3 linked regions of the Stegostoma tigrinum genome follow. The protein of the gene in region 1 purifies or fractionates together with the protein of each later gene. This does not show direct contact. Links are inferred from orthologs where the notes say so. Each region holds a gene or a part of one and is shown on either strand. Other genes may lie near its edges.

The links. Proteins that work in one complex are often made in the same cells at the same time.
Region 2: the proteins of ddx6 (region 1) and lsm14b purify together in Homo sapiens (affinity purification with mass spectrometry; 4 studies listed by BioGRID and IntAct, counting the BioPlex papers as one, with this or other methods). This does not show direct contact. The link is inferred for Stegostoma tigrinum from reciprocal best matches to the Homo sapiens genes DDX6 and LSM14B.
Region 3: the proteins of ddx6 (region 1) and edc4 purify together in Homo sapiens (affinity purification with mass spectrometry; 4 studies listed by BioGRID and IntAct, counting the BioPlex papers as one, with this or other methods). This does not show direct contact. The link is inferred for Stegostoma tigrinum from reciprocal best matches to the Homo sapiens genes DDX6 and EDC4.

The regions. Positions count from the first base shown.
Region 1 is NC_081385.1:2,253,637-2,262,111, forward strand, and holds the start of ddx6 (probable ATP-dependent RNA helicase ddx6), read right to left. Parts: upstream 3,407-8,475; 5' UTR 3,003-3,406; intron 1-3,002.
Region 2 is NC_081372.1:17,963,461-17,971,065, reverse strand, and holds the start of lsm14b (protein LSM14 homolog B), read right to left. Parts: upstream 3,480-7,605; 5' UTR 3,310-3,479; coding exon 3,189-3,309; intron 1-3,188. UniProt on the Homo sapiens protein: mRNA-binding protein essential for female fertility, oocyte meiotic maturation and the assembly of MARDO (mitochondria-associated ribonucleoprotein domain), a membraneless compartment that stores maternal mRNAs in oocytes.
Region 3 is NC_081369.1:18,116,633-18,124,127, forward strand, and holds the start of edc4 (enhancer of mRNA-decapping protein 4), read right to left. Parts: upstream 3,480-7,495; 5' UTR 3,400-3,479; coding exon 3,339-3,399; intron 1-3,338. UniProt on the Homo sapiens protein: In the process of mRNA degradation, seems to play a role in mRNA decapping. Component of a complex containing DCP2 and DCP1A which functions in decapping of ARE-containing mRNAs. Promotes complex formation between DCP1A and DCP2.

The DNA of each region.
Region 1 (8,475 bases):
ACACTTATCACCCACCTCTCACTCTAAAAAGCAATATCTCCATTTATCGTCCTGTGACTTTTGGGTCAGTCATATTGTAACAACACTTGATTGGATACTGTAAAATTAAATTCTGACCACTGTCACGGCCACCAGGCAGTTATGATCCGAGTTACTACATGCTTCAGATATTTGGACAACGTACAGCAGGGACCCACTTGATGTACCACTACAAGTGCCTTTACAAGAGCCTCCAAATCCAGTGGCAAGCAAGCCAAACCAACATGCCACTAATCATTTAAAACCAATCTGCTGAGCAGGGCATGATTTTCACACTCGCAAGACCAAACAAAACCACCAGCTCGTAGGAAACCCTGGCATTTGACTGACTAAAAGAATGTTCTTTAGGAGGTCAACAAACCTAACTCAGGAACACAGAGACAGAAGATATCAGGACAGTACGCAAACTTCTGAGCAACTATCTACCTATCCTTCACGCACAAGTTGTTTTGCATGGGACAGAACAGTCAGACTGATCAGAAATGTCAAAATCTATTAAGTTGGAGAAGGAAGAGGAAGCAAGTCATCTTCGATCCAGAAGCACTAGGACAGGACAGCACAGATGCAGGAACTAGGAGCCTTGGTGCCCTCGATTATAACAATACACATGCATATAATACACATATCAAAACAGTGAACAGCCTGGATCTCCTTTCAAAACACAAGCTGGGAGGTGAACTACATGTTTCTATCAAAACCTTTCATCACTTTATATAGTGGACATAGAGAATGATTCTGCTTGGTAGCAAAAAGCATAACTAAAGGCCATCAATATAAGGTAAGTCAAGAAATAGAATATGGAATTCAGAAAAACTCTTGCACGATAAAGGCCAGTACGTGGAAAGCACTACCATACGAGTGGTTGAAGCAAATGATTAGATGTATTTCAGGGGAAATGATAGACGGGCATGAGGGAGATAGACTAGAGAATTACGATAATAGATTTAGAGCAGGTAGAGATGGGAGGTGTCATGGAGAATTAAGACTGCCATGGACTGGTCAGGCCAAATGGCCTGCAGCATATTTTATGTACAGTAAGAAAACTGTTATTTTGCCAGCTTCCAAGTAATCAAATAGCTTGCCATTTTATAATACTGATCTGGACCTAATCATTTTCATCCAATTTACAACAAGTTCGACATTGCATTGGACATAGGTAGTTAACATTATTAAAACTTGCCACTGGCTCTTTTTGCAGTGGAATAGACTAATAACTAGTGTATAAAGGGCAAAGGCAGGTATTTTAAACTGTTTCAATAAGTTGAAACACATCTATACTAAACACTGAATTAATTGCTGACTTTGCGCTACTCCATTCTATTCTATTCTATCCTATCACTTCTGCCTCCAAAATTGAAAAACTTAGTTAAACTGAACAGCATGGACAAATCAGAATGCACTTGTTCAAACAGACTAAGTTAAATAACCTCAAAACAAAAATCATCGGTACAATATTCCAAACATATATCAACCTTCCAAAAATCAAACATGGTTACGTAAGAGGGATTGAACACTCAATTTTTAAAATTTTTTTTAAACAATTAAGAGGATGAGGGTACCACTGGCTAGGCAGCATTTATTGCCCATCCCTAACTGCACAGACAGCAGTTCAGAGTCAACCATATGGCTGTGGGTCTGGAGTCACACATAAGCCAGACTAGGTAAGGATGGCAGTTTCCTTCCCGAAAAGGACATTAAATGTCTTATGTATTAAGCAGGGAGGGAAAAATCAAAGCAGATAATCAACCAATTTTGAAACAAAAAAGTTTGAATTCAACTTCCAAAACCTTGTCAACCTTATTTCCTTCCTTTAAGGTACTCCTTAAAACCCACCTCCTTGCTCAAATTTTACCAATGGGAACTTCTTTGTGCTTTGGTATCATTGTCAAAACAAACGTTCTGGTGCCTGGGGATGTTTTACCACGAAAAAAAGTGATGTACAAGTAGTCACTATTTTTCTAATATTTTGTAACAAATTTATCTTTATCCCATCTACACAAGATTGCATTCACAACATAAAAATCAAGATAGCAAACTTTGGCAATGTAATGTAAACAAATTTAAATGAAAGTTGATAACCGTCCTTAAAAACAACCAAGGGCTGCAGAAACTTCAATTACAAGAACTTAACCTTAACCTTAGCCATTGAGGTAGAATTTCTAGTACAGCTTAGACATTTTTAATTTTAAAAATAAGTTCTATCGCTTGAAATTAAAGAAAGTATCAACATTCCAAACTATTGTTAGCTTTTTATCTTTTTTGGAACAACAGCAAGATTATGATGTTTAAAACCCTAAAGGCCCAACACCATCTGTCACATTGTAGTGACATAAACAGAACGAAAACTGGAACAGAAAAATCTAGCTTCACAGGAGTAAACAAAAATCCACGCGCTTTATTTAATATGCAAGATAGATATTTATGTACTTTTACCAGCCAGCAGACGGAGTGAGAAGCTATAGTTTACAAGAAAGAGTGAAGTGAGGGAGAAAAGGGTCAATATTTACACCAGTTCGCTCATAAAATTCCGGCCGCCTTCTACCACTCCGTCACCCCGAAAAAAAAGGAACAGCCTAAGCTCAAACACTTCCTAAAAAATTCATAAAGAGAAAAACAAGTCTCGACAGCATTATCAGAAATTAAGTAAATTACAATTTTCAGAAGACATTTAACGAAATCTTTCGACATATTCGCGAAAAACGCATAATTTAAAAAAACTGGATTCAAAACACGAAATTTTAAAAGACACGGTCAAACACATTAAAACAAAAAAAAAACGACAAAACAGAGTGTTTGTGGCCTTACAGCAAAGCAACGGCCAACGGAAGAGAGGAAAAAATAATCAACATCCTACGCAGCTTCATAAATAACAGCAGGTAAGCGACCGTTTCCAAAAATAAAATCACATCCTAACTCCTGACACTCGAATAAAAGTGTTAAGAAAAAAACATCATTGAACAAACCCTCGATGGCGACGATTTCTCTCCGACTCTGCTTATGTTTATTCGCTTTTTTTGTCTGCCCGATTCCAATATGGCGTCTTCTCCCTCGGCCCAACGTCATCGGCCGAGCCCGAATCAATCAGTTGACTTTTAAAGCTATCCCACCCCCAAAAAACATCTGGGTTACCTCATCAAACTCAATAAATCAACTACAAACTGTCAGAATTTGTCATCAGTATAAGAATTTAATTTAAGTTTATTGGTGGCGTGTCGGGCGAAATTGTCCTACCACGTGATCTGCCCCCCACCCCATGCAATGTGTGCCTTGATTTTAGCCCAGAGTAATTTGGGAAATTTTTTTTGTTACTGTTGCTCTTGGTCACTTATTTTCCTCTCTTCCCTCCTGGATTTGTCATGGTTTGCTTTGTTTTTTTTTCCTGCATTTGTATCGCTGTTTGCTGATGCTGTTGTTGTTGTTGCAGCAGCAAGTTCGCGCCCTCTCCTGGCAGCTCCATTTTCCATCGAGATGTCGCAAGGATTTGGAAATTGAATCCATCCACGTTGAGTGGTCTCACTTACATGTCCCTTCAAATTCCCCATTCTGTTCGAGTATTCCTGACAATTGCTCGAAGTTTAAAAAAAATGTCGGAGCATGGAATGTTTTGCCACAGGAAGTGTTTAATACGTCTTTTCGAGGTGATTATTTTGAAATACAGATACGAGGACTATTTTGGAATGGTTGGCTTTATTTTGTACCATGAGCTCTGATTTGATAACTACCCCTCTGCTTCCCTCGGCTACACTAGCCACAGTTAAACAACACCATAATCTTATATTTTTTTGTACATTCATAGGTTGTGAGCACTTACTGGAAGTTCTTTATTCAAAGTCCATTCAGGAAGCATAGGCATTTAGCTGAGTGTAAATGCCTTGAGGAGAACCATTTTGCCTCCACAAAGTGTGAGGCTGGATGAACCCAGCAGGCCAAGCAGCATCTCAGGAGCACAAAAGCCGACGTTTTGGGCCTCGACCCTTCATCAGCAAATGCAAATGCTTTTCTGATGAAGGGTCGAGGCCTGAAACGCCAGCTTTTGTGCTCCTGAGATGCTGCTGGGCCTGCTGTGTTCATCCAGCCCCACACTTTGTTATCTCGGATTCTCCAGCATCTGCAGTTCCCATTGGCTCTGACTCTAGTATAAGCAAGGCAAATCTTCATGAACCACCACAGGTGGAATGTGGTCTGAGCAGCTATTATTATTATTATTATTATTATTCACAACATCTTAGTATTTTAGTTTAATTCCCCTCCCACCCTATCACTGCAGAGTGGACTTGCATTTATATAGTGCTTTGCATGATAATCAGATGTCTCATTGAGATTTGCAGCCAATTACAGCCTAGTTCCTGACAGATGCAACATGAGAAATGAAGCAGTCAGTTTTTACATGGCAACCTCTACTAAACAGTTTTCTGATTTTGTGTTATTCTTCAATGAGACGTGAGCATATTTGTTGCCCTGCCCTTGAGAGGATGACGGTGAGCGCCTTCTTGAACCTTTGTAGTCCATGGGATGTAGATACCCCCACAGGACTGTTAGGAGGGAAGTTCCATATTTTTGACTCAGAAAGAGTGAAAGAACAGTGATATTGTTTCAAGTCAGAATGTTGTATAGCTTGATGTGAAATTGAGGGTGATGGTGGTGTTCCAGTGCATCTGCTTGTCATTCTGGATGAGGTCTTATGTTTGGAAGGTGCTTTCAAAGGAGGCATAGCCACCTGATGCAGTGCATCTTTGGGATGGAATATAATGCTGCCATTGTATGTCTGCACTAGAGGGAGTGAATTTTAAGGTGATGGATTGTGTACTGATCATACTGGTACTTTATCTTGGGTGGTGTCAAATTTCTTAAGCTGTGTATTTAGGCAAGTGAACAGTGTTCCATTACACTCCTGGATTGTATCCTGTAGATGGTAGGTAGACTTATGGGAGTCAGGAAGTAAGTCTCTTGGCACAGAATTCCCAGCCTCTGACCTGCACTTGTAGCCCCAGTATTTACACAGTATCTAGTTCATTTCTAGTCATTGGTAACTCCCAGGATGTTGATTTTTACCCTCGTGTTAAAATTCTTCTCTAGCTTGTTGATCACTATTTATAATGTGTTCCAGCTCCACAAGTCCTCTGAGGTAATGCAAGCTTAATTCTGATTTTTTGAGGATCCCTGATTTTAATCACACCACCATTGGTGGCCATACCTTCAACTGCCAATCCCTAAGCTCTGGATTCCCTCCACATCCATCTACCCACCTCTCTACCTTCCTCGTTTAAGTCACAAGTTAAAAACTATATCTTTGAAGTTTTTGATCATTTCCCTAAGTAACTCATACTATGTTTCACTGTTATATTTTATGAAATGTCTCGGAATGTTTATTATATTACAACACCACATAAATACAAATTATTGCTATAACTCTATGTCAGTGTGGCCTAGCTAGTTGTAGATATTTTAATCAACCTGTTCTAATCTGGTGACAAGGGTAAATAGGGTGGTCAACAGCACTTTAAACTAGTAAGTACGGGGGAAGGGAGGAGTGAGCGTACAGGGAAGCAAAACAGCATGTCTGTAGGTGGACGAAGCTTCAAGAGAACTGAAGAGCTGTTAGTAATGGAGGTGATAGGACTCAGAAAAAGGGTGCAAAACCTGGCATAAGGGCACTTTATCTGAATGCTTGGAGCATCCGAAACAAGGTGGGTGAATTGGTGGTGCAAATCATGGCAAATGGGTACGATTTAGTGGCCATTACAGAGACACGGTTGCAGGATGGTCATGACTGGGAGTTAAATATCCAGGGCTATCAAACTGTTCGGAAGGACAGACAGGAAGGTAAGGGAGGTGGTGTCTCTCTGATTTTTAAGGATGAGATCAGGGTGGTAGTGAGAGATGATATAGGCTCTACTGAATAAAAGGTTGAATCCATTTGGGTGGAAATTAGGAATAGCAGGGAGTATAAGTCACTGATAGGTGTGGTCTATAGGCCACCAAATAATGACATTGTGGTGGGGCGAGCAATAAACATAGAAATAGCTAATGCATGTAAAAATGGTACAGCAATTATCATGGGGGATTTTAATCCACGTATCGATTGGTCAAACCAGGTCAGTCATGGCAGCCTTGAGGAGGGGCTCAGAGAATGCATCCACGATAATTTCTTTGAACAATATGTAATGGAACCTACGAGGGAGCAAGCTATGCTAGATCTAGGCCTGTGCAATGAGACAGGAATAATTAATGATCTCACAGTTAGAGATCCTCTTGGAAGGCACAATCATAGTATGGTCAAATTTAGATTAATTCCCTACAGTGTGGAAACAGACCCTTCTGCCCAATAAGTCCACACTGCTCCTTGGAGCATCCCACCCAGACCCATCCCCCTATAATCCACACACCCTGAACACTACATGGCCAATCCACCTAGCCTGCACATCTTTGGACTGTGGGAGGAAACCAGAAGGACCCGGAGGAAACCCATGCAGACATGGGGAGAATGTGCAAACTCTGCACAGACAGTAACCTGAGGTTGAAATCGAACCTGGGTCCCTGGTGCTGTGAGGCTGCGGTGCTAACCACTGAGCCACCAAGCTGCCCTAAAATACAGATTTAAAATACAGATGGAGTGTGAGAAGGTTAAATCCAGTGCCAATGTCCTGTGCTTAAACAAAAGAGTCTATGATGGGATGAGGGAGGAGTTAGCTAAGGTAGAATGGAAGCAAAAACTTTATGCTGGGTCAATTGAGGAACAGTGGGGGACTTTCAAATTGATTTTTCGCAGTGCTCAGCAGAAGTATATTCCAGTGATAAGGAAGAACTGTAGGGAAAGAAATAGTCAGCCATGGATGTTTAAGGAAATAAAGGAAAGTATCAGATTAAAAAAAACATACAAAAAAGCAAAGAGTAGTGGGAAACTAGTAGACTGGGAAATCTTTAAAGGTCAACTGAAAGCCACAAAGAAGTTATAAAGAAAAGTAAGATAGATTCTGAGAGTAAAATAGCTCAGAATATAAGAACAGGCAGCAAAATATGCATGTCGTAAAAGAGTGGCAAAGGTAAACATTGGTCCTTGAGAGGATGAGAAGGTCAATTCAATAACTGGAAATGAGGGAATAGCCGAGGCAGTTATTTTGTGTCGGTCTTCACAGTGGAAGACACAAATAACATGCCGAAAACGAAAGGCAAAAAGGTTATAGCAGGAGAGGACCTTGAAACTATCATTATCACTCAGGAGGCAGTGCTGGGCAAACTAATGGGTGCTAAACGTAGACAAGTCTCCTGGACCTGATGAGATGCACCCCAGGGTACTAAAAGAGGTGATGGGGGAAATAGTAAATGCACTAGTAATTATTTACCAAAATTCACTGGACTCTGGGGTGGTTCCCACAAATTGGAAAACAGCCAATGTGACAGCACTGTTTAAAAAAGTGAAGTGGACAAAAAGCAGGTAACTGTTGACCAGTTAGCTCAACTTCTGTATTGGGGAAAATGCTTGAATCTATCATTAAGGAAGAAATAGCAAGACATCTGCATATAAATTGTCCCATTGGGAAAACCCAGCATGGGTTCATGAAGGGTAGGCCATGTTTAACTAATTTAGTGCAATTTTTTGAAGACATCATTTGGATGGTGGACAATGGGGAACCTGTGGATGTGGTGTATCTGGAGTTCCAGGAGGCTTCTGACGGGGTGCCACACCAAAGGCTGCTACATAAGATAAAGTTGCACGGTATTACATGTACTATATTGGCGTGGATAGAGGATTGGTTGACGAGTAGAAAACAAGAGTAGGGATAAATGGGTGTTTTTCTGGTTGGCAGTCAGTGGCCAGTGGTGTGCCTCAGGGATCAGTGTTGGGACCGCAATTGTTTACAATTTGCGTAGATGATTTGGAGTTGGGGACTGAGTGTGGTGTGTCAAAATTTGCAGATGACACTAAGATGAGTGGCTCAAGCAAAGTGTGCAGCAGACACTGAAAGTCTGCAGAGGAATCTCAGTTGTCTAAGTGAGTGGGCAAAGGTCTGGCAGATGGAGTACGATGTTGATAAGTGTGAGTTCATCCATTTTGGTAGGAATAACAGCAAAGTGGACTATGCTTTAAGGGGTAAAAAATTGCAGCATGCTGCTGTGCAGAGGGACTTGGGTGTCCTTGTGCATGAATCGCTAAAAGTAGGATTGCAGGTGCAGCAGGTAATTAAAAAGGCAAATGGAATTTTGTCTGTCATTGCTAGAAGGATAGAGTTTAAAAACAGGGAGGCAATGCTGCAGCTGTATAGGGGCCTAGTGAGGCCACACCTGGAGTACAGTGTGCAGTTTTCGTCTCCTTACTTGAGAAGAGATATACTAGCACTGGAGGGGGTGCAGAGGAGATTCACTTGGTTGATTCCAGAGTTGAGAGGGTTAGATTATGAGGAGAGACTGAGTGGGCTGGGATTATACTCATTGGAA
Region 2 (7,605 bases), on another chromosome or scaffold:
ACTAACCCCACCAATCTGAAAAGGAATGAGACTGCATGGTCAAGATTTCAGCATTAAACTGCATATCTTTCAAATCCGACAGCTATGATCAGTTTCATATCATTAATGACAGAATGTTTCAGCATCAAGTCAATCCCAATCTCTGTCCTTTTATCTCAGTCACACTGCCTTGTAGAAATGCTGAGTACAGTCCAGCACATTGGTTCCTTACCATCTTTATGATCAAGTCAGTACCATGTCATTTACTGGTCTTTGAGCAGAATCAAAGTCATACTGCAAGGAAACAGATCCCTCTGTCCAGCTTGTCCATGCCAATCAGACATCCCAAGCTGACCTAGTCCCACTTCCCAGCATTTAGCCTAAATTCCTCTAAGCCCAAACCATTCATACAGTTGATGCCTCTAACCTTTAAGGGCGTGACATGCATCTATTATTATGGCACACTGCCTCAGTGGCATCAAATACTGCACCTAGTCATTTCCTTTTAATAGCCTGAAGTGTTATCACACAACGGGGCAACTTTCCCACTAAAATCACCATGACATTTTCTTCTTCCTTTAAAAACCAACTACCACTAGTAATTACCAAACATTGGCAAGCAAAGTCCATATGGGCAAGGCAAACCATCAGAATTGAGGGGGAGGAAAGGAGATGGGGAGTAGTTTAAATCAAAATGGAGTCATTTGCTTCTTGGGCCTTCAAGAAACAATATCAAATTGAGTTTACAAAACAATTAACAATTATCTTCAATACTGAGTACAATGCATAATGTTGACCAAGTGCATAGTTCTTTAACTGAGGGATCAGACCTTGTCTCACATCCGTTCTAAGCAACCACCAGCTTCACTAGAGACGGCTATCCTCAAGTTTTTCCTGGCCACATTTCTTTCCTGTTGCAAATAAATCCACATTAAAACAGTATTCCCTCAAATAGATTCTACGATCCGTAACATTCTTGACAGGTCTACAAAGGTTCCACAAAACAAGAATTAGTTAAAAACTTAAAACATATTTGAATTACTTTTCAGAAGGAGGAAAATGAAAGCCATTCCTAAACAGTAACTTGTTTAAGGTTCTGAATTTCAAAACATCCATTCAACGAGGAACAAAAAAGTTGCTGGAAAAGCTCAGCAGGTCTTGCTGCATCTGAGAGGATAAAAATCAGTTAACATTTTGGGTCCAGTGACCCTTCCCTCAGAAACTCAATGAGTTTCAGGTGCAAAGATTAGTCAATCAGCAAAACTAGCTACTTAGTAAGATAACTGAATCAGGAAATAATGTCAAATTACCTCAGATTAAGCAAAAGTGAAATACTCTATACACAAATAGTACATTCTCATTAGGAGAGAACCAACCCAAATATCTCACAGCAGTGAGGTAGCTTAGCATTCCACAGGATTCAAGTTGGGAAGCATTACTACTGCAGGGCAAAAACATTTCAAAAAGCAAATTGTTACTGCTAGATCAGCAACACTGTCAATTGTTTTGATTCCTGCAACATAAACAATATGTACAGTTATACAGTTGCAGTTTTAAGGTAAAAGTCTGCAGACCATGCAGTACTTACCAGACAAAGGCAAAGCAATCACACTTGAGCAGAAAGGCCCATCTATTTTGGGTAGAACTAGTCAAAATTTAATAAGGTCAAACGTTTCAAAACTAACCCTGGCAGCTTGTGAAAAGGAATGACCTGAAAGAATAATACAGATGAGCCACATTTGGGGTACGCTTGGGCTAATCAAATAGCTCAGCTGTCTTAAAGCTTTAACACAATTGTTATATTATAACCTGACATTACACAGATCTATTTATCAAAAACAATTACTCTTACATCTATAAGTCAATCATACCCCTAATTCACCAAGATGCCATGTTATTGCTGCTTGACGAACGCAGAGGAAGAAGGAATCCGCAAGGCCCAGGTAGAAACAGACTTTCTCCCTGTTTTGGTAAGTTCATTCAGGTACTGTCTTCACTTTCATTGACCATTTGAAAACCCAACAAGGAATGAACCAGCATGAAATCTAATTCTGGAGAATGATCTGTAACAGGTGCAACATGTTGCAGAAAGAACATCTGGGAAAGCAGTGCTCGCGTTTGGTTTAGAATAGTTATGAAAAAGACGACTAAATCAATAAGGTAATTGGAGACAAAATTTCAAGAACAGGCAAGCAATGGGAGGCCTTCAAGTTAAAAACAAGCACAATGAGAAGGGCAAAAATGCAAAGACATAGCTCAGTAAATAATTGAAGAAAACGACATTAAAAATACAATGCTTAGTGGTCAACAAGTTCAGAGAAAAAGTCGTGTAGAACACAATATGCAGTTGAGAATTAGAAATTAAAGGGTAAAGTGGAGAAAAATTAGGGAAAACTTTGTCAAAACGAGGGGGAAGCTAAACGTCAAGGAAAATGTTGAAAGGAGAGGGCATAGTTAGGGTAATGAGTGAAAACGCTGCATGTTTTTAGCGGATAACATTGGACAGAAGAGATTGAGGATGTTGCCTGTAGCACAATTGGAAAAAAGTCAGCTGGCTCCAATGCAGATTTAGAATGAATATTACCGTAAGTTCATACTGTAATTATTTTGGACATCGCCACTTGATCGAGCACTAATTTATATTCCAAGTCTCTTGGGCGGGGGAGAAGAGAAGTATCGGAACTACAATCTACGTACTATCATAACAGTTTGGGATATTTAAACGAATGCCCTTTCCGACTTGGTCGACCACCAACCCATGATTTCTCAGGGGTAGGTGGTCACTTGATCCCGACCCGTTTACTGCATGTAAAACCTCAAATAACGCAAACTCCCATAAACAAGTCTACGTAAATCTGCAGAAGGACTGGAAATAATGCGAAGTCAACAATTCATCTGTGCCGTGGAGAAAGCAACAAAAAGTAAATTCTGAAAACAAGTGGGCTCTCCGCTCCTCCAAACACCAAGTGCAGGGGAATTCAAACAGGCTTGGTTGCCTAAAACATCTACCAAGCTGATGGGTGGCAAAAATAGGACAAAAGGCGCCATCGGTAATTGGACAGACGGGCAAAACAAATAAAGGCCGTGTTTGTCCGAGCGGGTATAAGGTTAGGAGATAATTATGCCTCAAGGGAGGGTGAACGAGGCCCCCCACCCACACCCAGGCCTCCCAGTGGCACAACAGGAAGGCGCCAGCAGCCTGCACTCACCCTTGGCCAGGGCCACCGTGGAGTTGTCCGTGTCGATGGTATACAAGATGCCCTCGTAGCGGATCTGCGCCTTAGAGATGAGGCTGATCTTGCTGCCGATGTACGGCGTCCCGCCGCTCATGGTGACGGCCAAAACCGGTCGATTCTCCCCTTTTTTTTTAAACCCTCCCGCCTTGCAGCCAATGCAAAACCTCTTCCTTTCTTCTCTTCCCCCACCAAAAACACCACCCTACCTCAATAACTTACTTCCACTCTCTTTACCCACAACAGCAAAGACCCACCTCCCTCCCAGCCTGGCGGCGCTTAAATAAGGTGTCACCGCCGCTGCGACCGCCTTCCAGTTCCGCCCCCGGGAACACGGGGCCGTACCGTCTACTCCAGCGGCACCTGCAGGTCGGAGGTCTGCCATTGCACCCACATGTTCTGCCCAACTCCGAGCAGGTATTTGTCACATTCAGTAGGCATAGGGTTACCCTCTGTATAATGGTGAGTCTAACGGTCTCCTGGTGCAGAGGTAGTGTCGCTCAATATAAAGTCGCCAGAGTTACCAGACCAAAGGGCTGCTCTCTCATCAAGGAGACAACCGGTGGTGGCTTAACCTAAGGGTCCCTCCGCCTCGGGTGAAGGGAGGGGAGAAGTTGAGAGGGAGAGTCCTTCACGGTAAATCTCAACAAGTGCGGGTATTGAACCCACGCTGTCGGCCCCTATCTCAGTAAAATAAAATCTGGGTCCAAGTTTCGCATGTCCCACAGGGTATGTCATGTCATGTCTGAACAGTTGATTAAGAATAATTATACTGGTGAGCATGGATGCTGTCGAGCTTATACCAACAATTCTCCTTCAAAGTGGCACTGCACATATTGACATTATTTTTTAATCCACTGTTAGAGGTGAGAGGACTGTTTAATTGCACTAAAAGAGCCTTTTGTTGCTTATATTTATATACCAGATATCAGTTAGAAGCACAAAATCAGCTTATGTATTAATTCCTCAGCCCTGTTCCCTCCCAATCTTAAATTACTGAGTAGTCCCTCTTCACAATGAGAATGTGCTTGCTCCAACAAAAACAGGCATTAATGAAACAGTTTTTGAGAATAATCTGTATATTACTATGATCAGAATTTAATTCATAATATTTCTAATGTTCTCAGTTCCATTTTTAATTTTGATGATCAGCAATGTACAAACCAAGCTTCCACAAAAGCAAAATACAGTGAATGCTGGGAATACTGACTGCAAATGTGATCTTTGGAGAAAAAAAGTATTTATGTTTTATGTTGGTTACTATTCATTAATAATGGAAGTTTATAGATATTACAGATTAAAGCATGTGTGGAGGTGGGTAAGGGGAAAAGGAATAACAACAAAAAGGGAATCTGTGGTTGGCCACAAAACAGAAGCGATTGAATGTCAATTAGATAGCATCTATGGCAAAAAGGAAACAGTGCGTAATTATGGCTTTGAACTTCCAGTTGCCTTTCACTAAAATTCTCCACTCCACAAGAGGTGCTGTTCCTAAAACCTACGATGAGTTTCATTGAAATAGTATGGAAAGCTGAGGACAGAAATGTCAGAGTGGAGTGAGGTATGAAAATGATTGGCATTCGGTAGCTCAGAGTCCTACTTTGTGCAATGTTTCCTTTTTGCCACGGACACCCAATCTTTTTATACATTCATCGCCATCAGAATTGTCTGAAAGCTCTCTATTCCTTCCATGAATGAAATCTCCATCCAGTCTCACTTTCCTCTGCTTGGATGAACTTGTTCTCATATTGATCAAATTCACCTTTAATCCCACTCACATCCTCTGAATAAAAAGGACAATGTCAACTATGGGCTTACCTAACTTTTCATGTGAACATTCTCATCTTTAGTCCTAATCAAGTCCCTCCGTTGTATTTTTTTCTGGCACATCAATGACTGTAATAGATACTGTTCCCTGCTCTGTCCCTGAACTAGAAAATTTCAGTAACATTACTTTAGATTTGCACGATTCCAGCAGCTTCAAATGATCCGCTCTTAATTCTTCTATTCCTTTCCTGTACTTCACTGTCCCAGGATTGGCTGTTGACTAATATTCAATACAGGACCACTGACATCCATAGCCTCCACTTCCTCACACCTTGGTTTCTTAATTTCCCTATTTAATTCTCAAAGAATCTCCACCTTTCAGTCACTTGTTCCGACGAACAACCTTATGTAGCAGCTATTCTGGTATATCTTCCTTTCTCCAATTTGCTTCCTCCCCTCAACCTACCCCTCAGTTTCTTGATGTTTTGAGACCATGTCCATTGCATTTCCAGTCATTCTGCTATGACCACGTTCCTAGTCCCCTCCAAATCCCAGAATTATGATAAAGTTCCTTTTTTTCTAAACCAACAGACTCCATATTCAATTTTTCATGCTGTTTTTTCCACCACCTTCACCAATGACAACATCAAACATATTTTCCCCTCCCTTTACTTTTCAGAAATCTGGAGGGACTCTTTATAACTTTTTCATGGGATGTGGGCTGGCAATTGTTGCCCATCCCAAGTTACATTTACAGGGATGTTGGTGAGCTGCCTTCTTGAACTGCTGTCCATTTATGCCTTGCAGATGGTAGACAAGCTTTGAGGAGTCAGGTAGTGAGTTATGTGCTCCAGGATTCCTAGCTTCTGACTTGCTGTTGTAATGACAGTACCTATTTGGCCAGTCCAATTCAGATTCTGGTCAATGGCAACCCTCAAGATGTTGAAAGTGTGCAATTCATGGTAAGACCATTGAACGTCAAGGGACAATGATTAAATCCTCTCTTGTTAGAGATGGCGATTGCCTGGCACTCGCGTCTCACAAATTTTATTTGCCATTGTCAGCCCCAACCTGGATACTGCCCAGGTCTTGCTGCATTTGGACATGGATTGCTTCAGTATTTGCGGAGTCGTGAATGGTGTTGGTCATTGTACAATCATCAGTAAACATCCCCATTTTTGACTTTATGATGCAGGGAAGGGTTATTGATAAAGCAGCAGAAGATGCTTGGCCAAGGACATAATTCTGAAGAACTCTTATGGAGATACCTTAGAGCTGAAATGACTGACCTCCAAAAGCCACAACCATCTTCCCATGTGCCAGGTATGACTGCAACAAATGGAAAATTTCCATGATTCTCATTGATACCAATTTTGCTGGGATTCCTTGATGACATACTCAGTCAAATATAACCTTGAGATCAAGAGCGGTCACTCTCACCTTACCTCTTGAATTCAGCTTGTTGCAAAGTTGGGTAGAGTACTTGTGGATTGGGAGGCAGGAATTTAGTGTTTGTAAAATGGATGGGGGTGTGGGGGAGGAAAGCATTGCATGGTCCTTTTAAAAGATGATGCGCTTTTTCGGCGCGTAGAGACTTAAAGCGGATGTCTGTGAGCAGCAGCTTCAAAATATAGAAGCACATAGTGAGCACCCAAGTTGAAACATTTGTATCAAAAGGCAATACAGTTAGCAGGCCAAGCAGCAGCATTTTAGGACCAAGACAATAGGCTTTTGAGTTTAGCCAATTGATTTGAACCGGGTGCTTAGATATCAAAGACCATCAAATTTACATTTGGTGGTTTTGACAACTTAAAATCAATCCTATTGTAATGAATATTGATATGTCATCAAGGGTATAAAAGGAGGAGACATTTGGACAAAGATCCCAGAGCCAACAGCCCTCATCTCTCAAGACAGAATCACTGGCTGTCACAGCCTCTTCTGTGTCTTAGAGAAAGCACCATCTGAGTAGCAATAGTACCAACGGCACAACTAGTTAATATTCTTGACCAAACAATCGATGGAGAAGGCATTCCTGACATAGGAATCAATGGAGAAGGCACAGAACATTCCACAAGACACGTAATATCGCCGTAATTTCCAGAGATTACATTTTTTTTTACATGTATATGTGGGATTTGTATTTATTGGAACAGCATACCATTAGAATCTTGCTTTATTCAGGACCAGTTAGTAGTGAGAAGGGATTTATTCAGTTTGTTAATAGTTTAGCTAATTTGTTCACTGTTAGAATGGGATAAATAAATTGTTACTTGTTGATTTTAAATTGAGTGTCAGAGATTTATTTATTTAACTACTAAAGTCGCTGAAAAACAGATTACACCACTTTTCACACTCCTTTTACAGATCATAGGGCAAGGCACTCCTCTTTGGGTGTTTTGGTTTTAGTTCTTGATGGCATGGGGGGGGGGTCAACCTCTGCTTTATAACAAGCTGTTTTTACGTTTGAACTATGGCCATCATGAGACCAATATCTGAGTTTCCTTGGTGGAACTCAAACTGAGCATTGCTGAGCAGGTGCTGTTGATGTCACTATTGATAACAACTTCAATCTCTTCACTGACAGTCGAGAGTAAAGTGATGGGTCAGTAATTTAGATTTGTTT
Region 3 (7,495 bases), on another chromosome or scaffold:
TTATACGGAAGATATTGTCACCTGCAAGTCAAATTTCCATCCGACTCAGGATTTGAGTGGCCTAACATATTGGATAGGACAGACCACATCTGCAACATTCTGGAAGGTAATGCTGCCACAGTGAGATTGATTGTTTGACCAAGTGAAGAGACCTGGTAGGTTATAATTCTAGCTCCTTAATGAGACCATCTGGATCCAGGATTTTTCCCTAATCATCTCACTCAATTTAAGATTAAGAAAGCCAAATGGAATAAGACATGGAATGGGTCTGAAGATCTGGCTTAAGTCTTGCCTAAGGAATGAAACAAACTTAGATTATTACCATTCTCCAAGTAAGTTTCAGGAAATTTATAATATCCAATATATTGCTAGGATCCAGGAATTTTTCTTCAATAATGCAACTCTCCAGCGAAGAGACACTGGGACTTAAAAGTTAGCAATACAGAAGACTTGAGACACAACATAAATCCTTAAGAATATAGAAGTTAATTAAAGAGCTGAGCATAAAATTCACAATTTCTTAGAGATTCACTCAAACCCCTTCATTTACCTCAACAGCTGACAACATTTAGACTGTTTTTACCAAGTTATCAACTAATTTCTTATGTATAGTCACAGTATACCAAGCAAGCAACTCTGTCCCTTTTAAGTCCCCAAATAAAGAAACCTGGTAAGATTATTCTATCTTGGATTTCTAAGAAAATAGTTGAGTTGTAAGATGAGGGGCTTGAGATGTCTCTTTTCAAGACTACTTTGAGTTGCGATTATAGGGTTATTTCTAATAGCTTGAAGTTGGTCAACTGCGTCGACAAAAAGTTTACTGTAGTTTAGTTCAATCAGCACAAAAAACACTACCAAATATTACACCATGGTGGCTCTCCTAACTGTTGGAAAAACTCATTCATCAGTGTTTTATCCTGTGGAAAGCTTTATGACATTAGCAGTGGAACAATCCCATCATGAATTAGTCTTAATGTATTATGATGAGGTAACTTGTTTCATTCAGATGCCCACAATCATCCATATTACAGAGATTAACAGGTCGACTTTCTGAAGTTAAACAAATATACAGCCCTCGTTTATTGGAAAATGACGCTTCGAGCCTTTTAGCATCTTAATGTGGCTAGATTCCTTCAGTGAAACGTTGGAAAATTCATCCCTTGATTGTGGAATATTACCCAAAAGAGAGCACTTGTTCTGGAAAAGATGGTGACTTATCTCATGAAGGCAGAGGCTCAGAGCAGTCATTTACACTCAGCAGAGGAAAAAAATGTGGTCATTGCTGCTATACAAGAAACACAGTGGCCAGTATGTGCTCAGCAAAATCCTACGAACAGTAATGTGACAACGACAAGATCATCCAGTTATGTTACAGACAAGCAACATTTTAAACTAACAATATTTTCACCCACCAGTATGCATGTACTGCTGCAGAACGAAACATGATACAACAGACCCAACAGCCTAACATATTCTACTCTATCAGGAAAGGACAGATAGGTTAGAAATACAAGCCCTGGTTTTACCTTCAATGTATTTGTAACTGGACTTATGCATGTGGTTAATCTACAAACAAACACTTATGCAGGAGTGTTAGAATGGTGCTGTAATAAATTTGCAGCTTGTCAAACCTCAAAACATAGAATTTGACAACACTCCAGGGTGAGAGATGTTCACGTACTTGACGTTCCTGTCAATACCAAACTGGCCGGCATGCAAGACCCATTATTATAGCATCATAGAGCTGTACAGCATGGAAACCTTGTTGCAAACAGACCCTTCAGTCCAACTCATCCATGCCAATCAGATATCCTAAATAAATCTAGTCCCATTTGCCAGCATTTGGCCCACATCCCTCTAAACCCTTCCTATTCATATACACATCCAGGTACCTTTTAAATTTTGTAAGCATACCAGCCTCCACCATTTCCTCTGACAGCTCATTCCATACATGCACCAGCCTTCGCATGAAAAGGTGGCCCCTCAGGTCCCTTTCAAATCTTTCCCTCCTCACCTTTAACCTATGCCCTCTAGTTTTGGATTCCCCACACTGGGGAAAAGACCTTGACTATTCACCCCTTCCATGCCCCTCATAACATTATAAACCTCTAAGGTCACCCCTCAGCCTTTTGAAACAAACAGTGAAGGTTTTTATCCTTGAACCTTGAAAGCCATGATGTATATCACAACGCAACGTACACCTATAGGGTTAGTATGCTCAGTAGTCTTGAAACATTGAAGTTCTTTTTACCGCAAAAGTTTAAAAAAGTTCCTTTCCAGAGAAGGCGTTAATTTCATAACGTACAATGTAAACTGGCTTAGACTGACAGGCTCATTTTCCTGTCCATAACACGTTATATAAAATGAAAAAGATTGCAAGCTTGCAAATATTAAGCAAACCATCAGTGATTATAACCATTTTCAACAAAGGTCAAAATTAAACTTGATGAAGCATGAGAATATCAGAAGATAACACTCAAGAGGGTCTGTCAACATAAGTCTGTATTAGTTTAACAACACGTGTTAAACTGAACTAAGCAAAACTTTCTACCATTATAATTGAACAGGAAGGGGATTCAGATGATAATTTACAGCATCAATTCAAATTAAAAAGTCTAGATGCAGGTTATGATCAAGTAGGCCAAATTATCAACACTACTACTTTCTTGGCTCTTTTAAGAATAAAGCCAACATACGTTGACTGTCGGTGCATCCACATCTGAACTTATTTACAAGCTGTCGAAGCAATCCGGTAAGAAATTTCTGCCTGCACGTTAGACTGTGATAAACAGTGTTATTCCAGGAAACGAAATTGAAAGTCGACTGGCTGACCAGTGAAACATATTGAACAACAAAAACAAATTGGTTCCGAAGGAGGGTCACTACACCCAAAACGTTAACTCTGCTTTCTCTGCACAGACACTGCCAGACGTATTGAATTTCTCCAGCAATTTCGTTTATTGTTTCATATCTCCAGCATCCGCAGGTCATATAGTTCTTTTCGGTCAATATCTGGCATCAGCAAAGACACCACCCTCTGGAAGCACTACATTCGAGCAGCTAACCCCACCACACGGACAACGGGCCGGTAGCAGGTCCCCGATTCTGAGAGAACCATCTTCGAGTAACTAAGCCCCGCGAAGGGAAAAAGCAGTGCCTCAGGGGACAGCCAATCTACGGTGGAGGTCCCAGTAAACAAGGCCTGGACTCCGGATTAAAGCGATTCACTCCACCCAACCTCCAGGATTCCCGGGTAACACCCGCCCAGCCCCAGTAAGTCAGCCGCTTCCAGGGCTTCACGCAGCCTTTAAACAAAGCGGCCCGGGCTCTATACTTACCGGAGACCCGGTCCAGCTTTAGCATATCCCGCAGGTGCTGTGTAGCATTCTCAATATCCATCTTAGACGCCTGGCTGAGTGGCGACGGCAGCGGCCCGAAAACCAGAGGGATGCGCACGCAGCCACCCCGCCAAACAGTCGGCGGTGCCACGGACAAACAGGTCTCTTCCGGTGTAATCACAAACTCTCCCTCTGACTGCCGAACCCCAGCCCAACGGACCGTCCTGGAGCGATACGATGCACCCCGTCACCAAATAACTTTGTACTCCTAAATGAATAACAAGGTTCATTCACGCCTGATATGATGATGTACCAATGGATGCATATGTAAGTTTCACGAAGAAAAGGGAAACATGTTGCAGAGAAAAAAAGATCATACGGTGTGAAATGGAATGCTAATTTAGGTTAAGGGATGGACCTCCAGAAATGCAGGACCAAACATTTGGAGGCAGAAAGCAGAGACTAGTGGCAGCTTTGAGTTGAGAATGTGTCATGCTTTTGGGACGGTTCAATATGCTCTCAAGTCGGAAGACAATGCAGGACAATATAACAAAAACAGAAGTTGCTGTTTTGAACAGTTCTGAGGAAAGGTCACTGAAACCAAAACGTTAACTGTTGATTTCTCGCCACAGATGCTGCCAGACCTGCTGAGCTTTTCCAGCAATTTCTCTTTTTCTTTCAGATTTCCAGCATCCGCAGTTTTTTTCGGATTTTATTTCCTGTCTAGTGCAGAACAATTTAAATCTGAAAACATCAATAAGAAGGAAGGAAATAGATCTTTAAGGAAATTTAACCAAAATATATAAACAGATTGAAAAAGTTTCTTCAGATATTTTTAAAAAGTTAACAAAGCAAAAAGAAGTAGCCCATGAAACAATTGATGCATTGGTTTTAATTTCCCAAAACTGATTTGATTCAGGGAAGGTTTCTTTAGATTGAAAAATAAGTAGTCTAACTCCATTCGTCAAAAAAGGAAGGGAAGCAGGAAACTGGAAATTACAGGCCAATTAACATTATTTATCGTTGGGAAAATGCTTCCGTCTATTATAAAAGATGGTACAACAAGACATGTGGATAAATTCAAGGTAATCAGGAAGGTAGAGAAAGATCCCAGAGAGAGGTATAAGTAGATTGTTGACAGTCAGCCAGGGAAGAAAAAAAGCTAAATAGTTGATAACAGAGACTATGCGTGTGTAAAAATAAGTTGGCTATGCTGAAAGATAAGGATGGAGTTGTTTAGGTTCTAAAATTATTGAACTTTATATATATATGAGTCCTGAAGGCTGCAAAGTCACACATGGAAAATGAGATGCTGTTCGTCTACCTTTTGCTGAGCCTTGCTAGAGAACGGCAGCAGCTGAAAAAGAAGGTTAGCATGTGTTGAATTGAGAGGTAACAGGAAGCTTATGGTCATTTTTTACAGACAGAACATAGGTGATAGTGAGTTTTGAGAAGATTTGTAGCTCAGGTTGAGGTTCTGGCTGTGAGTTGCTCGCTGAGCTGGAAGGTTAGTTTTCAGACGTTTCGTCACCATTCTAGGTAACATCATCAGTGAGCCTCCGATGAGGTGGTGTTCTACAAAGCGGTCACCTTGCTTGTATTTCGTCTCCCCCATGTAGTGGGGACTGCATTGTGAACAGTGAATACAGTCGACTAGATTGAGTGAAGTGCCGATAAATTGCTGCTTCACCTGGAAGGGGTGTCAAGGACCTAGAAGAGTGAGGAAATTGTAGGTAAACAGACAAGCGTTGCAAGTTCTGTGATTTCATGAGAAGGTGTTGGAATTGGAGAAGGAGGAGAGAGCAGGGTGTCCCAGAGGGAACGGTCCCAGGGAAAGCTGACAAGGGAGGGGAGGGGAGGGCAAGAGAAGGTATATCTCATAGTGCCAACCTGCTGTAGCTGGTAGAAATGTCTGCTCATTGTGCTTTGGATGCAGAGGCCAGTGAGATGGAAAGTAGAGATTGGGGGACCGTATTGTTGATGTGGGAAGGAAGAGAAGGGGGTTGGCAGAAGTGCAGGTGATAGGTCTGACTTGGCTAAGGGCACTGTCAACCACAGGGGTGGGAAATCCTTGGTTGAGTAAGAAAACGGAGTAACTTTTCACCAGATGCTATCAATTCTGAAAAAGGATTATTCTGTTTTCCCTCCACAGACATGGCCAGATTTTGCAATTTTCTCCAGCAATTTCTGTTCCTGTTCCAGATACTTACCGTTGGTTTGGTATTATCCTAAACCAATAACTTAAAATTACAGAAAATAATTATCAATTGAATAGAAAATTCGCAGACCTTTTTGCACGATCCTGCCATGACTTCAGTGAGAATGCAATGGATTAACTGCAGACTAGGCAACATCTAGATCCCGATCTGGGATGAGAGTTTCCTAACACCTGATCAAGTCAGAGGTCCGAGTTTCTCCTCAGCACAAACACAGCTATCAGCAAACAGGCGTTGTTCTAAAGCTGGAAGTTCTCACTTCCCAGCCTTGGTTAAAAGATGGAGCAGACTGAGTGACACAGAGTGTGACCTGGCCTAACAGCTCATTGAATGGCAAGTGTGTGAACTTAGCTAATATTCAAGCCTGAATCAAAGCGAGAAGAATCATACCAGACACGAAACATTAACCCTGTTTCTCTCTGCACAAATGCAGCCAAATCTTAAGTTTTCCAGTAACTTCTATTTTTTATTTGAGTAAAGAAGGTTTTGTTTTGTTACATAGAGTCCGAGGGTGCATTGGTGACTGCTTCCACTGCCCAGTATAGTGTATGTTAATTTAAGTATGAAGCTCCCACAACATGCAGACAGCCAAATGTATCTCAAGTGGTTAATATGCAATAGACTTAGATAAAAGAATCGTGACAACTTTGGTACTCTCACTACCACTGTATAGAAAAGGTATACCTCAGCACTGCCATATCAGTGCAGCTACCATATTACTATCCGTGATGTAAACATTGATACAGGGTTCAAGAAATGATTTTCCCTCATAGTTGTATCAGTGGGTTGAAAGCAGAAGCTAGGACTCCAAATGGACCAACATTCTTCCCCACATCGCATTCTCCAGACATTATGCTGACTGAAAATACCATGCATTGTTCTCATTTCTGAACATTTGTGTCATAAACAGATGATACTGGATCCAGAATGAAGTCACAGACTGGCTTACTTGGATTTCTTATGTCATAATGACACAAGTAAGCTTCTCCCCCTTCTAAGCAAAGTGCAGTAGTGTTTCATAGCTCACATCATTGTATAATTGTTTTTGCATATAGGTGATGATTAGGCTATTTACTGACCCTTTCTCCATTTGTTGGTACCGGTTTGTTCTGGTTTTATAGTCCATGTTATTTGCTTTCTTGTTTCCATACATCAAGTTGTTTGACTTGTCCTTCTTCTCCCTGGTTCTACATAGGATACCTTCAATGATTCCCAGGACCTTTGACCAGCTATCCTAACATTACACCAACATATCATGCATAAACGTAGAAGATTGTCTAGACCTCCCTTCGTCTGTTTTCATCTTGTAGGTAATTCTCATTATATATTTCTCCCTGTAACTTTTAAATGCCTCACTGAATATTCTTTTCATTTTAAATTTTACTCACTTATCAACCACTATTTCAGTTTCCCATTGGATTATGAGTCAGTATACTGGCAATTTGATGTTTTCTTGTTCTTCAGGCCACAATAAGCATTGTGTCAAATAACTGAAAACTCTGAAACCCAGTCTGCAGGGCATTTTCACCATGATCCCCTCATGTTAGTTACTTCGGATCTAAAAATCAGTTCAGCACCTTTATAGTCATCCTAACGTCATGCCACACATGCTTGACTTTCAAGTGATATTCAAAAATCGAAAGTGGTGTAGGAGTGCTTGTATCTCCTCCCTGTTTGGTCCCAGTGTTTTAGTGACTAAAGCATTCACTTAAGTTGTCTTTTACAAAAGGTCATGGTCAAGGGCACACATATTTCCAAGTGAAAGCTCCCAGTTAATTTCAATATCAATTAATTAATCACCTCTACTTTCTTTTCATGTGATTTAACAACGCCTGTCATTATAGTTTAATTCTAAGTGTGCAGTCCCTTGCTTGCCTGATTTTCCCTGATTCAGGAGCTCTCGAAAAACATTATTTGTCCTGTTTAAAAGAAAATGTTTTC